Stegostoma tigrinum: one gene and its partners. The protein of the gene in region 1 interacts with the protein of each later gene in a pairwise test. Links are inferred from orthologs where the notes say so. Each region holds a gene or a part of one and is shown on either strand. Other genes may lie near its edges.

Evidence for each region.
Region 2: the proteins of l3mbtl3 (region 1) and plekhf1 interact in binary tests that used the Homo sapiens proteins (3 or more experiments, as listed by UniProt). The two-hybrid records come from large-scale screens. The link is inferred for Stegostoma tigrinum from reciprocal best matches to the Homo sapiens genes L3MBTL3 and PLEKHF1.
Region 3: the proteins of l3mbtl3 (region 1) and ttc19 interact in binary tests that used the Homo sapiens proteins (3 or more experiments, as listed by UniProt). The two-hybrid records come from large-scale screens. The link is inferred for Stegostoma tigrinum from reciprocal best matches to the Homo sapiens genes L3MBTL3 and TTC19.

The regions. Positions count from the first base shown.
Region 1 is NC_081357.1:70,028,777-70,036,869, reverse strand, and holds the start of l3mbtl3 (lethal(3)malignant brain tumor-like protein 3), read right to left. Parts: upstream 3,094-8,093; 5' UTR 2,884-3,093; intron 1-2,883. UniProt on the Homo sapiens protein: Is a negative regulator of Notch target genes expression, required for RBPJ-mediated transcriptional repression. It recruits KDM1A to Notch-responsive elements and promotes KDM1A-mediated H3K4me demethylation.
Region 2 is NC_081369.1:32,514,704-32,521,979, reverse strand, and holds the start of plekhf1 (pleckstrin homology domain-containing family F member 1), read right to left. Parts: upstream 3,057-7,276; 5' UTR 2,965-3,056; coding exon 2,961-2,964; intron 1-2,960. UniProt on the Homo sapiens protein: May induce apoptosis through the lysosomal-mitochondrial pathway. Translocates to the lysosome initiating the permeabilization of lysosomal membrane (LMP) and resulting in the release of CTSD and CTSL to the cytoplasm.
Region 3 is NC_081358.1:127,544,249-127,551,991, reverse strand, and holds the start of ttc19 (tetratricopeptide repeat protein 19, mitochondrial), read left to right. Parts: upstream 1-4,678; 5' UTR 4,679-4,712; coding exon 4,713-4,872; intron 4,873-5,699; exon of another isoform or gene 5,700-5,824; coding exon of another isoform or gene 5,825-5,867; intron 5,868-6,174; coding exon 6,175-6,266; intron 6,267-7,743. UniProt on the Homo sapiens protein: Required for the preservation of the structural and functional integrity of mitochondrial respiratory complex III by allowing the physiological turnover of the Rieske protein UQCRFS1.

The DNA of each region.
Region 1 (8,093 bases):
TGGCTTAGTACACTACGCGAATTTAAAGCAAAATAACATCATTATTTTGTCTCTTTTTAAATCTGATTCAAAACCTGTTTGCCACAGATGTGCAGGGACAGAGTCCTTGTATCTGAAATAGACAGATTGTCGTTCAGTAGGGGAATCAGGTTTATGGAGAAAGGACAGGAAAGTGGACGTAAGGAATTTCAGATCAACCACAATTCTATTGAATGGTAAAGCAGGTTTAAGGGGCTGAACTCCTGTTCCTGTTCCTTACACTTATGGTTGTCTGATCCTTCAGTCAAGTATGACATGACAAATTCCAATCAGACAATTGATGTCAGCTGAAATTGTTTGTCAATACCCTCAAGTAATGATTGTGAAGTGACGGCAGTGTGAGTTGCTGTGATTCTCCATGCAGCCAAAAAGCTTGCCAGCTTTCTCAATGTAAAATATGAACAAAGAATGGGTACAGGTAATAGCAAAGAGTGATAAGTATCCATAAAAGTGTACTCAAAACAGGCAGTCAGCTGCTTCAAAAAGTAAGACTGAAAAACAAATTGTCTTCTCAAAGATTTTGAAAGAGAAACCAGTACATTGAGCCACTGAAAGGCCCAAGTTTGATAGAAGAACCTTGTGCATAAATAAGCAAACCAATATTCCTCTGAGAAACCAATTTGCTGATAGCAACTTCCTTTCTCCATAAACTATTATTCACTTAAGTAACTCATCAAACTCAGCGCAGCATCTGGGACAAAGCCAAAGCTAAATCGAAAACAAAGGAGAACGTCAGTTGATCAATTGTTCACTCTAGCAAATGGTTTGCTAAGCCACATATAGAGCAGATAGGCAATGAATAAATGCTGGATAATGCAACAAATTTGGATGAGTGAATACCTTATAGTTGTAACTAACTGTCAATTTCATCTGATGTAAGACAGTAATGCTCACTCATTTCCTTGTTAGTCACAGTTATCATAAAAAAATCTGTATTTTGGAATATCATGAGACAAAAATAAGCAATAAGATGGACTTCAACTCCAGCAGAACATGTGTATTTTCAATGTGATCTGACTTAATTGTAGTACCAAGACAAAACAATTAAAAAAAACTAGTGGACTCATTCCTCACTGATCATACGATGAAGAACACCAGCAGATAATCAGAAAAAGGACTGTGTTTTTTGTTCAAATTCCTCCAATGTTCATGAAGTGTGATAGTTTTGGTGGAAGAATATAGTTTGAAACTTACTTCGTATTAAATAAATCATTTTAACTAAGTCAGTCAATCAACAGCAAGTAAATATTCCAACAGTATTTCTCCAATCCTGAAAGACAGCCTAGAACAGTTTCCCAGGCGGCATGTGAATCAGTGGCAAATGCACTTAGCTCATGCTTGTATCAATCAGAACACTTAACTCGAAAGAATGCACAGCGGACTGGGCTGTCCCGATTAAAAGATGCTTTCTGACTGTTTCAGCAATAAATAAAATTACTCTAATTGAAGGATAAAAACAAAACGCGGGCAAACAGTGCCTTTAAATGTGAACAATTAACTTCCCACGTTTACCTTCAAACACAATCACCTCGTCCTGACAGCCAAATATACTATCCTTCCCTGCACCTCTAGACAAAAACCATTTGAGGTCGCTCTGCATTATCTTTTAAAAAAAGATGTTTTGTACTTGAAAGTTTCCAGAATGCACTCAACTATGCACAGTAGTTTGAAATAATGAACACAAAAGAAAATGCATTTCAGTTACATATTTACTGTCGTTATTAACAACATTCGCACCCAATTTACCGATAAAATGAATATGAATTAACGTTACTTGAAACAACCCTGGAGATAAATAAATGAAACTGAAATTTTATATATAACGTCGTCAGACTTTCCTCTTATCAAGTCCGAGGTTCATTTGACAGAAATTTAAATTCGTGGATATCAAGTGAGTTTTAGATTATAAATTGTGTAGCTAATCCTTACACTGTCAATCAGCCTAGGTGCTCGATTAACAATTAGAAAAAAAACTTAACCTACTGGAGGATTTAATAATTTAAATGTGCATCACAATTGCGTGCACTTCCTGAAATAAACTCGGTAGTTTCTCCCCAAGCCTGGGCTCTATCCATATCTATTTTCCCCCCTCTTTCTTTCCAAACCCCCCTCACATTCTCTCTCTCTTTTGCAGAATCCACCCTGAGATTTCTCTTCCTCAAACACTTCTTGTATTTTATTTGGGCAGTTTCTCAAAATGGCGGAGTCTATATTCCTGTAAAGGCCTAAAAAGGAGACACGTTGCATTTTAAAACGTGAATTTATTGCATCCCTTTCTCTTTTAGTAAGAAAACAAAAAAAGGGGGGTAATGAGAGCGCGGCGCGGAAACATTGTATCGAGCGGCGGCTCGCTCCCATTCCAATGGAAGCCTCGCACTTTGCCCGGGTTCCATAAAATGGTCTGTGTCACAGGAGAGTTCAGTGTTTGAAATAATTATTATAATCGCCAACTATCAATACTCATCATTCACCGGCACTGCTCAAACACTGGTTCACTCTCTATTTAAATTAGTTTTTCTCCCCCCTTCTCTATTTTTTCTCCCCGTTTGTAATAATTTATTTCTAATTGCTAAAGGGGACTTGTGCTGCTCTGCAGACACACACTCATACAGTCCCCGGCCACTCGCTTCTCTGCAACTACTTTTATTTAAGTTGCACCAAATGCAATTAGGATAAACGCCAGGGAGTGGAGAGGGGTTTAAAAAAAAGGAGATTGAGGGGAGGAGGGAGGAAGTTAAATTCCCAGACGGCGGGAGGGGCCACCTAAATACACCATTCGTTGTCTGACAGCTTTTGCTCCTGGTTTATTTTCTTTTTAAAATTAAAAATTACACCGTTTCTTACCCAAATTCTGTCACGAGTAGCAAATTTCCAGGTCGCCAGTGCGCACGCGCGCGGGACAGCTGCTCGCAAGGAACTGCAGAGCAAGAGAGGAAAAAAAACTAGACACTGAGGCACTCACCCACCTTCTGTGGGCTTTCTTGTAAACGTCTGCCGTTCAATCGCGTTTATTTCTTATTTGCATATTATTGCTGTCTCATTTTGACATCCAACTTGATCAGCCTATTAAGTACATTGTAATTAAAATGCGTGCACTAATTCAAAACCTGGACGCTGTTCATCCTCAGGATGTAATGTATTTCCGAAGAAAGGAACTTGCATTTGTAGGCTTAGTTATTTGGAGGCAACGATCCCTCTGACTCATATTTGTCCGTGCGCGTCTGTGTTGATCTAAGTTACTATTGACTGCAAAGACTGATTTTCGTTTTGGCCAACTGAGTGAACTACATTTTATTCAAAGTGCTCTGTTTCCTTTCATTTCCCCCTGTTTTGTGACGTTTTATTTGCAAATATTCGTACCTCTTTTAAGGTACAAATAGAAAGGGGGAAATGAAAACAACACTCATTCAGTTGCAATAACTGGTATTGCTGAACAGTGAAGTAATTTTGGCAGATAATGCTGGAATTTTGGCTGAAATCACTGAAAATTTAGTTAGGAAGTACAAACTGAGGTTCAATTGTTCACTCTAAGGTGTATTTTCTTAATAATCAGTCAGATGTTTTCTCACAATGAAGTATAAGTAAAGGTTTTTAAAAATTTTCTTCAATAAATGAAGCTTTTATCACCCTCAATCCATTTTTCATCAGTTCAGAGACTGAGTGTCACTTGCAAGGCTGACACTAGACGACTTACTTCAGGCAGTTCATCCTTTATGTTCTTACATAGGTCCTGGCCTAACTCAACTTAAAGAGACTCTTGAACCGCTTAAGAGGGAATAGCAGTTAAAGTGATTAACTATTGGTTGTTTCATGGCTTTAATGCTTGAGTACTTTCTAAAAAGTGGGCTTGAATTAAAGCAGGGGTTCACCCACACGTATCAGAGGCAAGGACTCCTGTAAGGAAATCTACCAGGTTTCAGAGCTGGTGCTTCAGTTTCCAGTTGTCATTCTGATTGGACTCGGGTCTGAACCCAACGCTCCTCGCTGCAAGACGGGAAGATTATCACGGCTCTATTTGTTTCTCTGACTGGCCATGAACATCACGCTCGAGGCCAACAAGTGTTTAAAAACATTGATTCCATTTGAGCAGAATCCAGATAAAATCACCAGTGCCACAGCAAAAGGTCAGAGAATTTTATTGTCAGTGAGTTCATCAATAATGCATCAACTTGCATTTATCTAGCAACTTCATGAACTAAAACAACAGACGTGCTTCAGAGGAGCACTACAAAGCAGAAATAGATATTCAGTCACATTAGGAGACTGAGAACAGATGATTAAGTGCTTGGGTCCTGATTTTCATTCCCAGGTCAGGTATGCAGAGTTAGGAGAAATGCCAGTTCCATGAGCCTGTCCTTTAAAAATGGCCATCTGCACTTTCAATTTTTGTTCTAGCAGGCTGGGCTGGATTGAGAGGTGGGTCAGGTGACCCAGAGGAGTTCAGGAAGCTGCCTGGTTCCTGAGGCATTCTGGGCAGAAAGCCTGCCTAGTGATTCTGGCACTATGTCTAAAGTTTAAGAATAAACTTTAAAACAAAAACAGCCCTCATTCCCCATGCCCCTGTTTGCTTGTGTATGACCCCACCATAGCCCCTTGCCAATTTATGTCCAATTACCCATCACTGATGTCCCACTTACCCTCTATGCCAAATGAGCCCATCTACCTAATTCCATGCCTCCATATATGTCTTTTACTCCAACAGCTGTTGTGGTCCTTATACCTTTTATACCAATTATTTTACACCCACCTCTCATGTCAACTCACCTGTTATGCAGCATGGTCATTCATCAGGAGGGAAAATAAAATTACTTGTATATGGATGATGTCACTGTTGAAACCAAAACCACTTCTATTGATTAAAAAAATCCAATACACTGTTTAACTAAATTATATATGTTAACAAATACTTCACTTGTGTTTCAATGACTTGTGTAAATAAGCGTGTTGCTTGAGAATTTAATAACCAACGTAAATAAACATTTTTAAAAACTCTGATTTAGGCATTTAATCCTTTACGTCAACAAACATTTCAATCAAATAAATAGTTGGAGCTGCCCAACAAAAGGCACCACATTGTGTCGATGATACTTTAGGCAATCAGTAAGCAGCATAAATTTAAAATGGCTTTATGTGGGATGCATTTTGAAATAGTGGATACATTTTCATAATTTTACATTGTTTGGATATTTTCTTGAAAGTTTTGCAAACCTAATGTGTTAATGCACTTTTTAATTCATAAGCATATCATTTTCTATCCCAAAGGGCACCTTACCTCTCCAAAAGGGAAAAAAATATTAATCTCTCTGACTTCTACGCTTTGCACTTGCTCTCATGCTCATCCCCACACATTTTCCAAACCTCACCGTTACCAACTCATGAAACCAAATGTCCCCATGCATCCCAATGTCTATAAAATTCATACGCCAGCCCAGTGCCTACTTCCACCTGCTACCATTTCCCTTGTCACTTACTATGTGAGCTAATTAAGCATCCTGAGTGAAACCAGCTCCAACAACGGGAAGCTTAACACCATTCAGGACAAAGCAGCTTGCTTGATTCAATTCCCTCTATCAAGAGCAGCACTTATACAGTTAATGGTAGGGCCCTGGGTAGCACTGTCAAACAGAGACACCTAAAGATTCAGGTACATAGTTCTTTGAAAGCAGTGTCACAGGTAAACAGGGTAGTTAAGAAGGCATTTAGTACGCTTGACTTCATTGCTCAGACCATTGAGTGTAGGAGTTCGGATGTCATGTTGAGGTTCTACAGAACGTTATGTAGGCCACTTTTCAACAACTGTGCACAGTTCTGATCTGATATAAGAAGGATATTATTAAATTGGAGACTGTTCAGAAAAGATTTACAAGAATGTCGTTAGGAGGGTTTGAGTTATATGGTTAGGCTGGGACTTCTTTCCCTGGAGCATAGGAGCTTGAGGGATGACCATATAGATGTTTATAAAATGAAGAGGGGCATAGATAAGGTGAATAGTAAAGGTCTTTTCCCTAGGATGGGGAAGTTCAAAACTAGGGTACATATTTTTAAAGTAAGAGGAGAAAGATTTAAAAGGGAATAAAAATGGAAAGAACTGCAGATGCTATAAATCAGCAACGAAAACAAGGTTCCTGGAAAAGCTCAGCAGGTCTGGCAACACCCATGAAGGAGAAAGCAAAGTTAATGTTTCAGGTCCACTGACCCCTCCTCAGAACTGATTTAAAAGGGATTTAAAGATTTAAAAGGGACCTGAGGGGCAACCTTTTCACACAGAGGGCCGTTAGTATGTGGAATGAACTGCCAGAAGAAGTGGTAGATGCAGGTACAGTGACAACAGTTAAAAGATATTTAGACAGCTACATGAATAGGAAATGTTGAGAGAGATATGGGCCAAATGCTGGCAAGTGGGATGCTTGCTTTTTCTGATTTATATAAGAGGACACCCTCAAATCCCTTTGTGCAGCAGCTTTGTGCAGTCTTTCCCCACAATAATAATATTTAGCTCCTCTATTCATCCTGCCAAAATGCATAATATTACATTTTCTCACATTACAGTTTGTCACATAAATTCTATCTGCCAAGTTTAGTTTGGGAAAATTGCTTGGCATAGATGAATTGGACTGAAGTGCCTGTTTCTGTGCTGCATGACCTGCATGACTAGGGATATTCAAAATGTTTTGTGTGAGGAAAATTGTGTCTCACAAACTTTGATTGTGTTATTTGGGGAGTTACCAAAAATATTGATGATGGCAGAGCAGTAGACATTGTTTGTTTGGATTTTAGTAGAACATTTGACAAAGTTTTGCATGGTGGACCAATTAGTAAAGTTTGGTCACATGGGATTCAGGGTGAACTTGCCAATTGGATAGGTAATTGATTTAATGGCAGGAGAGAGAGAGTAATAGTGGAGGGTTGCTCTTCAGACTGGTGGTCTGTGACCAATGGTGTTCTACAGGGATTGGCCCTGGGTCGTCATTTGTTTGTCATTTATGTAAATGATTTGGATGAGAATTTAGAAGGCATGGTCAGTACATTTGCGGATGACACCAAAATTGTTGGCATTGTAGACAGTGAAGAAGGTTTTGTAAGATTGTGAAGGGATCTTGATCAAATGGGTGAATGGGCTGAAAAACAGCAGTTGTAGTTCAATCTGGACAAGTGTGAGTTATTGTAATTTGGTGCAACAAACAAGGGTTGGGCTTGTATAATTAATGATAGGGCCTTGGGTAGTGTCGTAGAACAGAGAGACCTAGGGGTACAGGTACATAATTCTTTAAAGTTTGTGTCGCATATAGATAGGATGGTTAAGAAGGCATTTGGCATGCTTGCCTTCATTGCTCAGTTGTTTGAGTATAGGAGTTGGTATGTTATGTTGTGGTTGTGCAGGGCATTGGTGAGGCCTCTTCTGGAATACTGTGTCAAGTTCTGGTCTCCCAATTATAGGAAGGATATTATCAAGCTGGAGAGGGTTTAGAGGAGATTTCCCAGAATGTTGTCAGGTATGGAAGATTTGAGTTATAAAGAAAGGCTGGATAGGCTGGGACTTTTTTCACTGGAGCCTAGGAGGTTGAGAGATGACCTGATAGAAGTTTATAAAATAATGAGAGATATAGATAAAGTTGATGGTAGTTGTCTCTTCCCTGAGACAGGGAATTTCAAGACTGGGGACACATTTTTAGGGTGAGAGGAAGGAGATTTATAAAAGACATACAAGGATTTTTTTTACACAGAGGGTGTTTTGCATTTGGGATGAATTTCATGAGGAAGTGGTGGATGTGGGTACAATCACCAAAAGATATTTGGATTTGGATAGATACATAGGAAAAGTTTGGAGGGATATGGGCCAAGAGCAGGTAGATGGGACTAAATTAGTTTGGGATTATGTTCTGCATGGAGTGATTGGACCAAAGGGTCTGCTTACGTACTGTATGACTCTATGACTCAATGTCCTCCACTACTGACACACAGTGACAGACCGCAAATTGTAGGAGCACAAGAAGGTCATTTAAAAAATCAAGTCTGCTCCACCATTCAATGAGATCAGAGCTGATCTGATAATT
Region 2 (7,276 bases), on another chromosome or scaffold:
TAGACAGTTCATTTTCAACAGTAGTTGCACTTTCTTAAACAAGAGTCACATCATGGAAAGTGCTCAGTGTCATCAAAGTTCTTCAGCTTGTCGATGTTGATTTCTGGTATCCATCTATTTTCCACTGGAGACAGTCAGGAATATATCACATTGTATAACATTGCTGATCCTGGAACAGCTGAGCAGAGTTCATTATTAGCCCTGTTCATTCCAGAAAAATGCTGAATTTGGTGTCCTAATGAAATATACTTTTCTTTTGCCACATAGCTCCTAAGCATGATTTAAGGCAAGAAATTAAAAGTTTCAGCAATGGAGGGAACAAATATCACTAAAACAAAAGCAAGATATTGAGAATGATGGAAATTTGAAACAAAAACACAAAGCACTGCAGACACTAAGCTGGATTGGCAGCAAGTATGGAGTGAGAAACAGGGGTAACTTTTTGAGTCTGAGTGCACTTTTCCTGTGACGTGTTAGATCGGACCCAAAATGTTAATTCTGTTGCTGCATTCACTGATGTTGCCAGGCCAACAGAGAGTTTCCGGTACTTTCTGTTTGTATTTTAGAACAATTATTTTTACTTTACAACAATGAACATTGCCTATCAATACAGAATAGAATAACATGTGTTTTGTTGACCCACCACAGTGACCTGAACAGAGTCTACACACAAAGCTTCTGGCATGCATTCATATAGCACAGCCAGGCTGCATCAGTGTGTGACTATATATACCTTTTAGGCTACCCAGCTAATCATAGGCTCTGTCCAGAATCAGTGTCAGAGAATGATCTTTCTTTTACACTCCAAGTCTTATTTGCAAAAACACAAGAGTCACATCTAGTAATTGAATTGTATTTTTGCCTCAAATGTTTGCACACCTTTGATATACCTTGAAATATATTGTACAAGTATGCATGCAATATTTCGCAGTTCATGCCATTTTTGGCTAAGCTGAAACACAATCTGAACAAGACTTCTATCTCTGCTGGCTATAAGGCTAAATTGCTCAATGTCAGTTTTTATTTGAAATAGATGAAGAAATGAGAATTGATCAAAATTGTCCCTGGGGCATCAGCAACAAGCTGCAGACAGTAGTTGGGTAGCTCATGCAGCTTATGGGTTGGAGAGTTCAAAATTTTAATTAGGCTGGCCCTAGCAGTTGGGGAGCTGATTTGTTGAGACAAGGCAGAGAAAGAAGTACTGAATCTGAAGCAGCACCAACATAGAGAATTTCTCTGGGAACAGGACAATTGCTGCTTCACCTAGTTTCAATCCAGAAAGAAAATAATCTTCCCCTGTTTTTGTGGATAGTTCCTAATCCATTGAGCAGCCCTAAATTAGACATTAAAGATCCAGAACAGTTGATTATGCAGACAGTGTGTTGCTGACAACCATTTTGCATCAGGGTTCAAAACTAGCACTGGGACCTTAATTTTAAGCATTCAAGGCATTTGCCTGGTTACAGAGGGCGCCTATGACACTTGGAAGTCACTGCGCTCTTCCAAGGATCTCTAAGCATAGGAAATTAGGTTATTGTCACGCAAGAAACAGACTCAAATCTATCCAGTTTGCATCCAATAGTCTCAATCCACAACTGGAGATGGCCTCAGAGCACAAAATGGCTCTGAATTCAGTATTTAGGGGATATTTGTGCGCTACAGAAAGCAATAAAAAGTTTGACTGTCTATTATTCTTTATCAATTATTTGTTAGTCCAGAAAGTAAAGATTGATTCTTTCTTCAAATAACCGAAATTCTAATAAATTGGCAATGGAGTGATAATCCATCTTTACGATGTTCTTTAAAACTGACGGTATAAGAATTCAAATTGCAATATAGGGCATTTTTTGTCTGTCATTGGTTTCTTTTTTTCTCGTTGTTGCTTTCCAAACAGCAGGCTTGTGCCTTTAGATGGCATTTCCAAAAAGAGAGAGCTGTGACATCATGCAGTCCTATTTTAGTTTTTGCTTTGTATCCCAAAAGCAAAATGGTGGAATCAACTGATGTCTGGGCACAGGTATGACCTTATTAGCGTAGAAAACTGTTGCTTTTCCCTGTTTGTTTGTATTTTGCTGAATATTATTTTAGTACTGCAGCTATGAAGACCCATTGTTAAAAATTGGACCATTTGTGATCGTCCTATTTTAAAAAGAGAGAGTCTAGATAAGATAGGTATCTTGAAGTTTATCAAGGACATTAACTATTTAAATTGTTAGCATATCACACACTTAAACACAATCTGGGTTTTGTGCTTAATTATGTTATATATCTTACATACACATAGCTGACTGACTGAACACAGTACATTGACTTCATTGCACTATGTTAGAGGTGAAGTGGATACATTTATTTTGGAATGTCACATGTTATAATGTCACATAATGTCTTAAAGTACACCGGTCTGGAATCTATACAATAACAACCAAACTTATGTTTCTTACCAGCAGGGACTGCTGGCGATATCTAGAATATCTTTCTAGAGATATTCAATTAAGAGGGTGCCCCGGGATTGTTGTCAGGGTGGCAGGGGGGAAGGTGAATTTAATCATAAGACTGGAATGGTAGCCAGCAGTCCCTGTGAACAACTGGCAAGCACAAGGCAGGATTCCATGTGCGACTGAAAGATTCCATTGCCCTTGGAAAATCTTTGCTAATTACTTAATGGCGTCAATTGGCTCCCTCTACTACTTGCTAGGTTACCATCAGCACACTCAAGGTGCCCCTAGAAAGGGTGAGAGGCACTGAAATTGACCTGCCAAGTGTCAATCCTTTGCATCCAATCCTATGTCTAAAGATCTAATAAAATTCCCCTTCATGTTGCTTTTACAATCCTGACAAGAACACAAATAGAAGAATTAAATTTTTCACGGCTGATATGCTCACCAAACATTTTGTACTCATAACATAAACAAATAGAAGGAACTTCCATCTTTAGCTGTACACTTGTACAAGATACATACCCATGTGCTTAATTTTCTGAAATTAATTCAGTCGAATATTTGGGTTTTTGCAATTGGCACTTTTCAGTCTTTCCTTTTCATCATTTGATATGCTATTCACCAGAATCCTAAACGAGAAAGACATCAAAGGATTCTAAGGGTAAGGCTCAAAAAGCTTCAGTTCTTCAGTGAATAAAAGAGTCAAACACCAGGACATTGGAATGAAAGACCATTTTGTAAAAAAGGAGTAGGCAAGTTGACATTTTGGACCCAGACCCCTCTTCAGAAATGGGCTACCTGGCCTGCTGTATTCCTCCAGCTGCACATTGTGTTATCTTTGACTGCAGCATCAGCAGTTTTTACTATTTCTGACCGTTTTGTAAAAGCTGTTTTATCCTGCAGTTCTTTCTTCATCCACAGGGAGGAATGACGTGCCTCTTTTTTTTATTTTACACTTGTACTTGTTTGGATGCAATACAGAAAGGAAAGTCAAGGTGGAAATCTCATGTATAAAATGATGCACACTGAATTTCCTTTCTGGCTTAAGTGCAGCCAGAGAAAACTGTGCTTTAAATGTGCCCAGAACATGCATTTGTTTAACTACTCCCATTCCAGGTGACAACTATAACATCTTTCAAATTGTTACAACAAACACTAAGTGATACATAATTTCTTCTGACTCACTGCAAAAAGTAGTCATGGGAAATTATGTAAATATGTCAGTTTAATGATTAAATACTGCATGTTTTGAGATGATTCTGAAATTAAAGGATAAATGTGTCCTCTTGTTGAAACCTGAACTAACCATAGAGGCTGGTGTCCTGTCTCCAAGTTACCCTTTACTTACACATGGAGAGTCTTTGACACTGATCCAGCTCCCTCAGAGCCAGCTCTTACAGGGATTTGTAAACCAGGGCTCCCTGATTGTACCGGATTAACAGGATCAACCAGGGAACTCATATTTGATGATAACTGCCTGGCTGACTTCATTACAATCACTGCAATATCCAACATGAGCAGTTATGTTGAACACTGGGTTACTGTAGTCTGATTTTCTTTGACACAGTGGTGACTGAAATTAACTTTTATTTATTTTTAAATAGAACTGATTGTAAATATTAAGTTATTTGCCAGTTTAAACAAAATAAACATGCCTATTAGCATCTTACACTTCTCTTTAAATTCAGTAGCATTTTAAATAAGAAACTTTAATTTCTTCCTATAATGATGTGAATTTCATTGTTACTAAAACAAACGTCAAATTTTAAAATCAGGCTGTTATTTCTGCCTCCTTTTCCAGTGGGATCACAGCATAGACACGCCGAAAAGCAGAAAAAGTAAAACATTTAGTCCACTGCAGCAATACCATCATTCACAGAACTTCTCACTGATCTGTGACCTAACTGTATTCCATATTCTTTGATGTCTTTGGCTAATGAAAATTGATCACTCAGTTTTGAAATTAACAACTAATCCAGTGTCAATTACTTTTTGTGAAAGAGAGTTTGAAACATCTACCACTCTTTGCATGAAGAAGTGTTTCCTACTTCCATTCTTAAAAAAATGTTTACCTGGTTTTCTTTTACAATGGTTCTCGATGAATACAACATAACTAGACAGTCTCTCCCAATCGATCTTATCTGTTCTTAATATCTTGAAAACTTCAACCAAATCACCCTTAAATATTCCAAATTCCAGGGAATACAACACCAGTTTATGTAATCTCATCAGAATTTTACTTTTGGAGTCAAGGAATTATTCCCGTAAAGCTACACTGCATTATCTCCAAGGCCAATACTTTATATCCCAAGCGTGTGCGGCTCAGAACTGTTCACAGTGCTGCAGGTGTAGCCTAGCCAGGATTTGTATAGCTGTCTTATACCCACTTGCATCCTGTCCCAGCAGATATAAGGACCAGCATTCATTTAACCCTTTTAGTCATAATAGTCTTAATATTCTGTGTGCATGGACCCCATTTCACCAGGTCTCTTCAGATGACCAAAGTCTTTAGCTTTTCACAGGTCGGAAAGTGCTCTGTTTCATCCTTTTATATTTGACTATGCTGAAATCGATTAGCTACAATTTTGCCTATTAGCCTAAACTATCAGTATTTCTTTTGCATTTTCATTTATACTGGTTTCAATACTATCCACCATTGATTCATCATCAAGTCTGGTTAAGCAGCTTTAAAATGCAAGCTTCGAAGAAAATTTCATTCTTCTATGGTGGTGATCAACTAAAAAAAATTCTAAATAAACAACAATTTTAATTCATGAACAATAAAACAAAATTCTTACCATAATTCTTCAAGTGTGTCATTGACTTCTAAAGCACTTCTAAAATAATCACTCCCTTTTTCAGTGATATCATTGTCTCCGAGTCTACAAACAAATATTATCCATTCCATTAATCAGCCACCCAGAAAGTACAGTAACATATAAATTGAAATCCTTAAATATAAAAAGGTACAAATCATAGATGACATACAAGAAAAAGGAAATAGCAGAGCACTTTTAAAGGAGCTATTCTCTTAAAAATAAACAATGATTTGCCTCCAGCCCAGTTAATTCTACAGTGGAAAAGCACATGGAGAAATTTGCTGACCCACCACTAACTGGCGCTTTGAATTAGGAAATGAATACTACTTAAGCCTCTCATAGCACCACGATTGGTATTCACCCAGTCTCATTGCGCAGAGTGGGGCGGAGTGGTGTGTGTGTGTGTGTGTGTGTGTGTGTGTGTGTGTGTGTGTGTGTGTGTGTGTGTGTGTTTGTGTGTGTGTTTGTGTGTGTGTGTGTGTGTGTGTGTGTGTTCGCTCAAGCAACCCAGCATCAGGACTCAGGGTTCCATTTAAGTTGCCAACCCTCCTCCCATCCAGCCCATGACTCCCTTGGCCTGTGCTTAGCTGATCCTAGGCTTCAGGTGGGTGCCTAAGCAACAGCCTCTGGTCCCCCAGTGCCATTTTTAACAATTAAGTGCTGCTGGCTTCTGGTGGGTAAGCAGCTCTTCTTGGGTGGTACTTCTTCCCTTCGGATCATTGATTCTGGGAAAGGCCCTCACTGCCCAATACAGTGTCTGATCAATATTTAACAAGAGAGGTGACACGGGGCTCCCATAGATTTCCAGCTCATGGGCAAGACTCCCATTGCTTTTAGGATTAGATACGATGGACAGTGAGAGCCTTTTTCCTCAGACGGACGTGGCTAGCGTGAGGGGACATAGCTTTAAATTGAGGGGTGATAGATATAGCAAAGATGTCAGAGGCAGGTTATTTACTCAGAAAGTAGTAAGGGCATGGAATGTCCTGCCTGCAACAGTAGTAGACTCTCCAAGTTTAAGGGCATTTAAATGGTCATTGGATAAACATATGGATGATAATGGAATAGTGTATGTTACATGGGCTTCAGTTTGGTTTCACAGGTTGGCGCAACATCGAGAGCCAAAAGGTCTGTACTGCGCTGCAGTGTTCTATGTTCTCTGCCCAATGTAATTGAAGATCAGGGCAAACATCAGCCAGATTCAGCACATGAGCAGACTGGCAAGTGCCAAGCCACCAGGTAATATAAGCTGTCTGTGAAATCAAACTTCAAAGCTCAAATGGAAATAAGTACACCTGGGAGAGTTTGGGATTGGAGAAAATGTTCTGGTGTGAGTTTACATTTAAACAATTACCTTAACTCAACCAAGCTGCAATTTTTTTTCATTGCTTGTGCCATATACATTGCACCTTCATCTCCGATCTTGTTAAACTGCAAACTGAAACAAGACAAATAAATATATTTAATTACCCTTCAATAATGAGAATAGCCCCCTTAGTTCCAAAGTAACTCAATTTGTTAACACTGTGAGCTTTTTTCTTTCTATTTATGATCTTCATTTTGCTTGGCCAGAGGGAGAGTCCCACTGTCGAACAAAATGAAGATCATTGAACTCCAAGGTTCAATCTTCAACAGATGCGAGTTGAGGTCATTTAACTCCAGGTGGTTATGGAGCGTTGGTTCATAGCCCACAGGTGAAAGAGGCATAATGAAATTGAGCCAGTCTCTCTAGTTTTAGAGTTAGTGATTTCTACATTGCCATCCATTGATAAGAAGTTAACAACCGTCTCAGTTTTAGACACATTTGCAATAATGGCTGTGAATATTTAGATTCATGGATGAAGAAATGCACGCTTAGTAATGATGGAACCATCCTGCAACCAGGAAACTGCTTTCAGAAAGGAAGGGAAAAAAATGGGGATTTACAAAACAGAAAGTTCAATTATCTGGCAGTAATGGAACAGTGATTTGGAGCACCAAGTGTAGTCATTCATTTGTAGAGTGCAGGATCTCATCAAG
Region 3 (7,743 bases), on another chromosome or scaffold:
GAGGTGTATAAAATCATGAGAGCTGTAGATAGGATGAATGCATACAGTCTTTTTTCCGCAGGGACGGGGAATCGGAAACTAGAAGGGCATAAGTTTAAAGTGAGAGGGGAAAGATTTTAAGGGGTATCTGATGGGCAACTTCTCCAGACAGAGAGTGGTGAGTATATGGATTGTGCTGCCAGGGAAAGCAGTTGAGGCAGGTACAATAGCAACATTTAGAAAACATTTGGATAGTACATGGATAGGAAGGGTTTAGAGGGATATGGACCAAATGTGGCCAATTGGAACTAGCTGAATGGGCACCATGGTCAGCATGGACCAGTTTGGGTTGAAGGGCCTCTTTCTATGATTCTATGACTGAGTCCCTTTGTGCTTCAGATTTCTGAAGCCTTTCCCCATTTAGAAAATGGTCTCAGCCTCTACTCTTCCTACCAAATTTCCTACCAAAGCTTTCCCACATTGTATTCCATCTGCTACTTCTTTTCTCACTCTTCTAGCCTGTCCAAGTCATTCTGCAGCCTCCCCACTTCCTCAGCATCACCTGAGTGTTCTGTCTTCCTCACTTTTTGAATAATAGAATTGCATTTGCTATCACAGGAGAGCTGGGGCCTCAGCTTCTTGCAATTTATATCAATGTTTTAGAATTTGCTGGGAGTCCATTGAGTCCATACTGTGCTTATTAAAATTATTGAATGATGCTAAATAATGATAGAAAACAAAACAGGACAAACAATGCAAACTAAGGACAGAAAAAAACAACCATCAGGGCAATTACAAGAGAACAAGGAAAAACAGCAGAAATTGACAACATTGTAAGAAATGCCTTTTTAGAATTAAAATTGTGCCCCTTATCTAAGAAAAGATGTCCTTGCATTGGAGACAGCCCAGAGAAGGTTCACGTGGCTGATGCGAGGTACAGTGTAACCGTCTTATAAAGAGAGGTTGAATAGATTGGGCCTGTACTCATTGTCATTTAGAAAAGCGAGAGACAACGTTATTGAACCATGCAAGTTTCTTACGGGCTTTACAGTGTCAATGCAGAAAGATCAGACAGTTTAGGACCAGAGGGTCTAATCTCAGAATAAAGGCTCGTACATTTAAGACAAAGATGAGGAGGAATTTCCTGTTTTGGAGGGCTGTGAAGATGTGGAATTGTTTACCACAGAGGGCTTTTGAGACAGGGTCATTAAGTATATTTAAGACTGATTTTTCATCAGCAAAGGGAATCAAGGGTTGTGAAGAAAAGGCAGGAAGGTGGAGTTGAGGATTATCAGATTAGCCATGATCTCATTGAATTGCGGAACAGACTCGATGGGCTGAATGTCCTACTATTGCTGGTCTAGGGCACTGCTGAAGCTGGTTCTGTAAAGAAAAAAAGTGATTAATTGTTTCTCTTAGGGCTATATTTAGTGACTTGGATAAGCATATGGATAATGATGGGAGAATGTAGGGGGAGGGGCTTAGATTAGTTCACAGGTCGGCGCAACATTGAGGGCCGAAGGGCCTGTTCTGCACTGTATTGTTCTATGTTCTATGACTCTTAGAAACATATTAAACAGCCCAATAAAGATGCTGTCACAATAATGTCACTGGACTTAGATTCATTTATTTGTCACATGTACTAAATACAGGAACACATAAAGTACAGCAAAAAGTGCACAAAGATACCACTCACTAGTGCTCACTTGGTTACAAAAACTTAGCATTAACTAACCAGAAGCTTCTCTGAAGTCAGAGTCAGTTGGATAATCAACACCCCATGATGGGACTGGAATTCCAACTATTGTGTTATAAAGTGCCACAGAGACTGATTGTTCCTGGGAAGAATATCATCCTCAATAAAATTAGAAGGTAGCCCTATTCTGTAGCAGACGTGTTTATGTGGAATGCAACTGTTTGTCTCAAAATAACTGGTTACACCCCTCTTCACTCTGCACCCCTCCACCAACATGCCCTCCCCCCTGGAAGCTTGATCACATGGTTCCTTCAGTTCTGAACCTTTTAATTCTGCTGTATGTATTTATTTACAGATATATTCAATGATATCGAAACACATAATTCCAGGCGACAAAGGAGAAGACTCTGCCATGTAAAAAGCAGTTAATAACGTGCTTTTTGTATAAAAGCAAAATACTACAGCATCTGGCAAACAAATTTGAAAAGCACAGAAATTGCTGGAGAAACCAAATAGGTCTGGCAGGTTCTGTGGAGAAAAAAAGACGTTAATGCTTCGGGTCAGGAATAACTCGTCAGAACCTGTATGTTGTGTGCTCTCAAAGTAATCATCCTTCTTTTGTTAAAGCAGTTAAATCAAAATTAAATTACAGCAATATTAGGCAGCATGGTGGCTCAGTGGTCAGTACTGCTGCCTCATAATGCTAGGGACCTGGGTTCAATTTCACCCACATGTGAAATTTTCACATTCTCCCTGTCCCTGTGTGGTAAGATGCTGCTTGTCCTGCTGTGTTCATCCAGCTTCACACTTTGTTATCTTGGATTCTCCAGCATCTGCAGTTCCCATTATCTCTGTTTTTTTTTCCAGGTGCTCTGGTTTCCTCCCACAGTCCAAAGGTTTGCAAGTTATGTGAACAGGCCATGGGAAATTGCCCACAGTGTCCAAGAATTGGCGTGGATTAAGCATGGGAAAGGCAGGGGATAAGACAGTTGGGATGGGTCTGGATGGGACGCTCTTCAGAGGGGTGGTGTGGACTTGATGGACTTTAATGGCTTGCTACCACACTGCAGGGATTCTATGAATATTCTTGAGTTGAGTTTATAAGGAATTTTTAAGGGGAACAAATTATCTCTGACTTCTGAACAGCTCGTCAGCCAATCGATCACCATTCATCCTCATTTCATGCTGCGACTTCTGGCCTCAACCATTTGGTTTCTATTTTCAAAATCAAAGACACTGATGAACTGGTATCACTCGGTTTGTTAGAGATAATGGGGACTGCAGATGCTGGAGATTCCAAGATAATAAAATGTGAGGCTGGATGAACACAGCAGGCCAAGCAGCATCTCAGGAGCACAAAAGCTGACGTTTCGGGCCTAGACCCTTCATCAGAGAGGGGGATGGGGGGAGGGAACTGGAATAAATAGGGAGAGAGGGGGAGGCGGACCGAAGATGGAGAGTAAAGAAGATAGGTGGAGAGAGTGTAGGTGGGGAGGTAGGGAGGGGATAGGTCAGTCCAGGGAAGACGGACAGGTCAAGGAGGTGGGATGAGGTTAGTAGGTAGCGGGGGGTGCGGCTTGGGGTGGGAGGAAGGGATGGGTGAGAGGAAGAACCGGTTAGGGAGGCAGAGACAGTTTGGACTGGTTTTGGGATGCAGTGGGTGGGGGGGAAGAGCTGGGCTGGTTGTGTGGTGCAGTGGGGGGAGGGGACGAACTGGGCTGGTTGAGGGATGCAGTAGGGGAAGGGGAGATTTTGAAACGGGTGAAGTCCACATTGATACCATATGGCTGCAGGGTTCCCAGGCGGAATATGAGTTGCTGTTCCTGCAACCTTCGGGTGGCATCATTGTGGCAGTGCAGGAGGCCCATGATGGACATGTCATCAAGAGAATGGGAGGGGGAGTGGAAATGGTTTGCGACTGGGAGGTGCAGTTGCCAAGGAGGCTTGGGGACCGCTTTGCAGAACACCTCCGCTCAGTTCGCAAAAAACAACTGCACCTCCCAGTCGCAAACCATTTCCACTCCCCCTCCCATTCTCTTGATGACATGTCCATCATGGGCCTCCTGCACTGCCACAATGATGCCACCCGAAGGTTGCAGGAACAGCAACTCATATTCCGCCTGGGAACCCTGCAGCCATATGGTATCAATGTGGACTTCACCAGTTTCAAAATCTCCCCTTCCCCCACTGCATCCCTAAACCAGCCCAGTTCGTCCCCTCCCCCCACTGCACCACACAACCAGCCCAGCTCTTCCCCCCCACCCACTGCATCCCAAAACCAGTCCAACCGGTCTCTGCCTCCCTAACCGGTTCTTCCTCTCACCCATCCCTTCCTCCCACACCAAGCCGCACCCCCAGCTACCTACTAACCTCATCCCACCTCCTTGACCTGTCCGTCTTCCCTGGACTGACCTATCCCCTCCCTACCTCCCCACCTACACTCTCTCCACCTATCTTCTTTTCTCTCCATCTTCGGTCCGCCTCCCCCTCTCTCCCTATTTATTCCAGTTCCCTCCCCCCATCCCCCTCTCTGATGAAGGGTCTAGGCCCGAAACGTCAGCTTTTGTGCTCCTGAGATGCTGCTTGGCCTGCTGTGTTCATCCAGCCTCACATTTTATCACTCGGTTTGTTTGCACTTTTTACGAACTGAACAATTGCCTTATCCTTTTCAATTTAATCCTTGTGCAGCCATGTCAGCATGTATCTGTTGTAAAGTATTGCCCACCGTACACCTGACAATGTGTGAAATAAACACTATTTCTGGTTAAATTTACACCTTAACTTTATAAAGTCCACCAAAAAAGCAGTGAGAAAACGTGTTCTCACAAAATCAGAAATCAGTCTGACACACATCCCGCCACCCAGACACTTTAATTCCAGACTCCTTTAAGAACATGGGGGTACCTGGCCCTTTAAGAACATGGGGGTACCTGGCCCTTTAAGAACATGGGGGTACCTGGCCCTTTAAATGTCTGTTGATCAAATGTTCCGCTACCTGTTTCCGGTGTTGACGTGTTTCCGCCCCGTTGCCGGGGTGATGCTGCCGTCGGCAGTATCCCGGGGCCTGAGCTGCGGCCGAAGGGTCAGGATTCGCGGCGCCTGGGCCGCGGCCCCCGCCCCCGCCCCGGCCAACGCCCACGCCCGAACGGAGAGCCGCGGCCGCCCCGGAAATGGGAACCTGAGCGCGGCGGCAGTGGGTAAGAGGGGTGGAACCGGTCGGTCACCCGGCCCTGGGCGGAGCCTGCACTGACCCCGCCTCCCCCCGACGTCCTCAGTCCCGACCTGATTCCCCTCTCTGTGGGCTCCCGTGGCCCGGGCCGCAGGGTCCATGCAGTGCTCTGACCCTCACCGTGATCCCCACCCCTCCCCGTGACCTTGCCCCACCCCTCTCCCCGTGACCTTGCCCCACCCCTCTCCCCGTGACCTTGCCCCACCCCTCTCCCCGTGACCTTGCCCCACCCCCTCTCCCCGTGACCTTGCCCCACCCCTCCCCGTGACCTTCCCCTCCCCACCCACCCTGTGACCTTCCCCTCTTTCCCCCCCCCGTGACCTTCCCCTCTTCCCCCCCCGTGACCTTCCCCTCTTCCCCCCCCCGTGACCTTCCCCTCTTCCCCCCCCCGTGACCTTCCCCTCTTCCCCCCCCCGTGACCTTCCCCTCTTTCCCCCCCGCGTGACCTTCCTCTCTTCTTCTCCCCCCCCTCCTCCACCTACCCCGTTCTCCTCTTCCCCGTGACCCCCACCCACCCGTCCCACACCCACCTGACCTTCCCCTATCACCCCCCCCGTCCCACACCCACCTGATCTTCCCCTATCACCCCCCCCCGTCCCACACCCACCCGACCTTCCCCTATCACCCCCCCCGTCCCACACCCACCTGATCTTCCCCTATCACCCCCCCCCCGTCCCACACCCACCTGATCTTCCCCTATCACCCCCCCCCGTCCCACACCCACCCGACCTTCCCCTATCACCCCCCCCGTCCCACACCCACCTGATCTTCCCCTATCACCCCCCCCCCGTCCCACACCCACCCGACCTTCCCCTATCACCCCCCCCCACGGACTATGGGGAGTCTTTCCTGAGAGGTTTGAAGTTGCTCTCTCAGTGGGGGGCAGCCTCTCGGGAGACGGGGCTGTTGTCCTGGCATCGATGGGACATGGAGCTTGTCAGGCGGTGTGCCCTGCCTCTTGGGGTAGGGCAGTGAACAGTGATCTCCAGCTGATCTCACTCCACCCAGTGTTGTGATCCTGTCCTCATGGATGTTGGTTCCCTAGTTACAGGATCAAGAGATAGGTTTTTCATGTTCTGTGGACATATGTCGCCCTCCCTCCCTGCAGTGTTCACCCCTGTTCCTCCCCCTACCCTGGTGATTGCCCCATTATAGTCAGCATGCCAATCCACTTACTTCACTCTGGACTCTCTCATAATTGTGATCACCAACCAGCCTCCTTTTCTTTCACTTTCTCTAAAGTGCTGTTTTCTGATTTCCTTCTCTCCAGCGTTTCTTGCTGCCATCCAGTTGTTCTCGCACCATGAGAAGGAGCAACAGGACCCTGAGGATGCGATCATCCTACTGATCAAAAAGTCCAAGGTTCAGAATGGTTTGCTTCTCACTCTCCCTTTATGCCAGCTCAAACATTGTCATCTCATCAGTCAGCAGTAGGTCCTCTGGCTGTCCATTCTGGCCCAAATGACGTCCACCCTTACCAGGAGGAATAAACTTGTGGTGTCAGCACGGATCAAGTATAATAAAGCTGCCAATGTAACACCTTAATTTGAAAACAGAAGCAACCAAAATGCTTGGTAACTGTAAGCCAGTTACCTTAACATCACTTGTTGGGGAAAGTGCTAGCGTCTTTTATAAAGGATGTAATAGCAGAGCATTTAGAAATATAATCAAGCAATAGTAAGATGGCTTCATCAATGGGAAACATGCCTGATAAGTTCTCTAGAATTCTTTTGAGGTAATAATGAAGAGGATTAGATAAGGGGAAAAGTGTGAATGTGATGTGTTAGGATTTTCAGAAGGTGTTTGAGAAGGTACCACACATAATGCTATTTAATAAGAGAAGGAGGCACTATATTAGCCTGGATAGAGAATTGGCTAAAACATCAGTTTGTATAACGGAGGGTATTTTCAGATGATAACCTATAACTAGTTGAGTGCCATAGGGATCAATACTGTTCTTGCAATTATTTGCAATATATCACAGAATTGTTATGGTGCAGATTGATGCCATTGGGCGCGACAGTTCCTCAAATGAACATTGTCATGTGTGACCGATCTCCTACGTCCTTGCTCCGCCACACTCTTGCATGTTATTGTATCCAAGTAATCAGTGAATGCTGCCTCGACCATGTTTCCAGGCTGCACGTTCCAGACCCTAATTGTTCACTAGGTGGAAAAGAATGAACTCTCATCACATTTGCTGCTTTTGCGAGACTTCTAATTTACGCCATCTCATTTTCCTTCCTTTTGCAAGTGGAAGGAACTTCTCACTATCCACTTCTATCTACCCTTTTCATGATTTGTACTGTAGTCCAATTTGTGGACAGCACAAAGATAGGTGGAAAGGCTCGTAGTGAGGGTGACACAAAGACTTTGCAGAGGCATATAGGCAGGTTAAGCAAGTGGGCAAAAACTTTAAATGGAATATTATGTGGTGGACATGTGAGGAAGAATAGAGGAGGCAAATATTATTTAAATAGAGAAAGCCTGCAGAAAGCTACAGCATAGAGTTTGTGATTTCTCATGCACGGATCTCAAATTGCCAGTATCCAAGTTCAGCAGGTAATAGGGAAGACAAATGCAATCTTCGCTTTCCTTTTACAAAGGGAATGAGTCATTTTGCTAAAACTATACAAGGCCTATACAAGTCAGACTGTAGTTGAATACTTGAAGCAGTTCTGAGCCCCTTATCCAATAAAAGGCACACTGGCATTGGAGACAGTTTAGAGAAGGTTCAGTAGTTTGATCCTGGATAAGGAGGGATACTCTTGTGAGATAGTTTGAGTAGGTTGAGCCTGTACTCTGAAGTTTAGAAGAATAAGCAGGGACCTACTGGAAC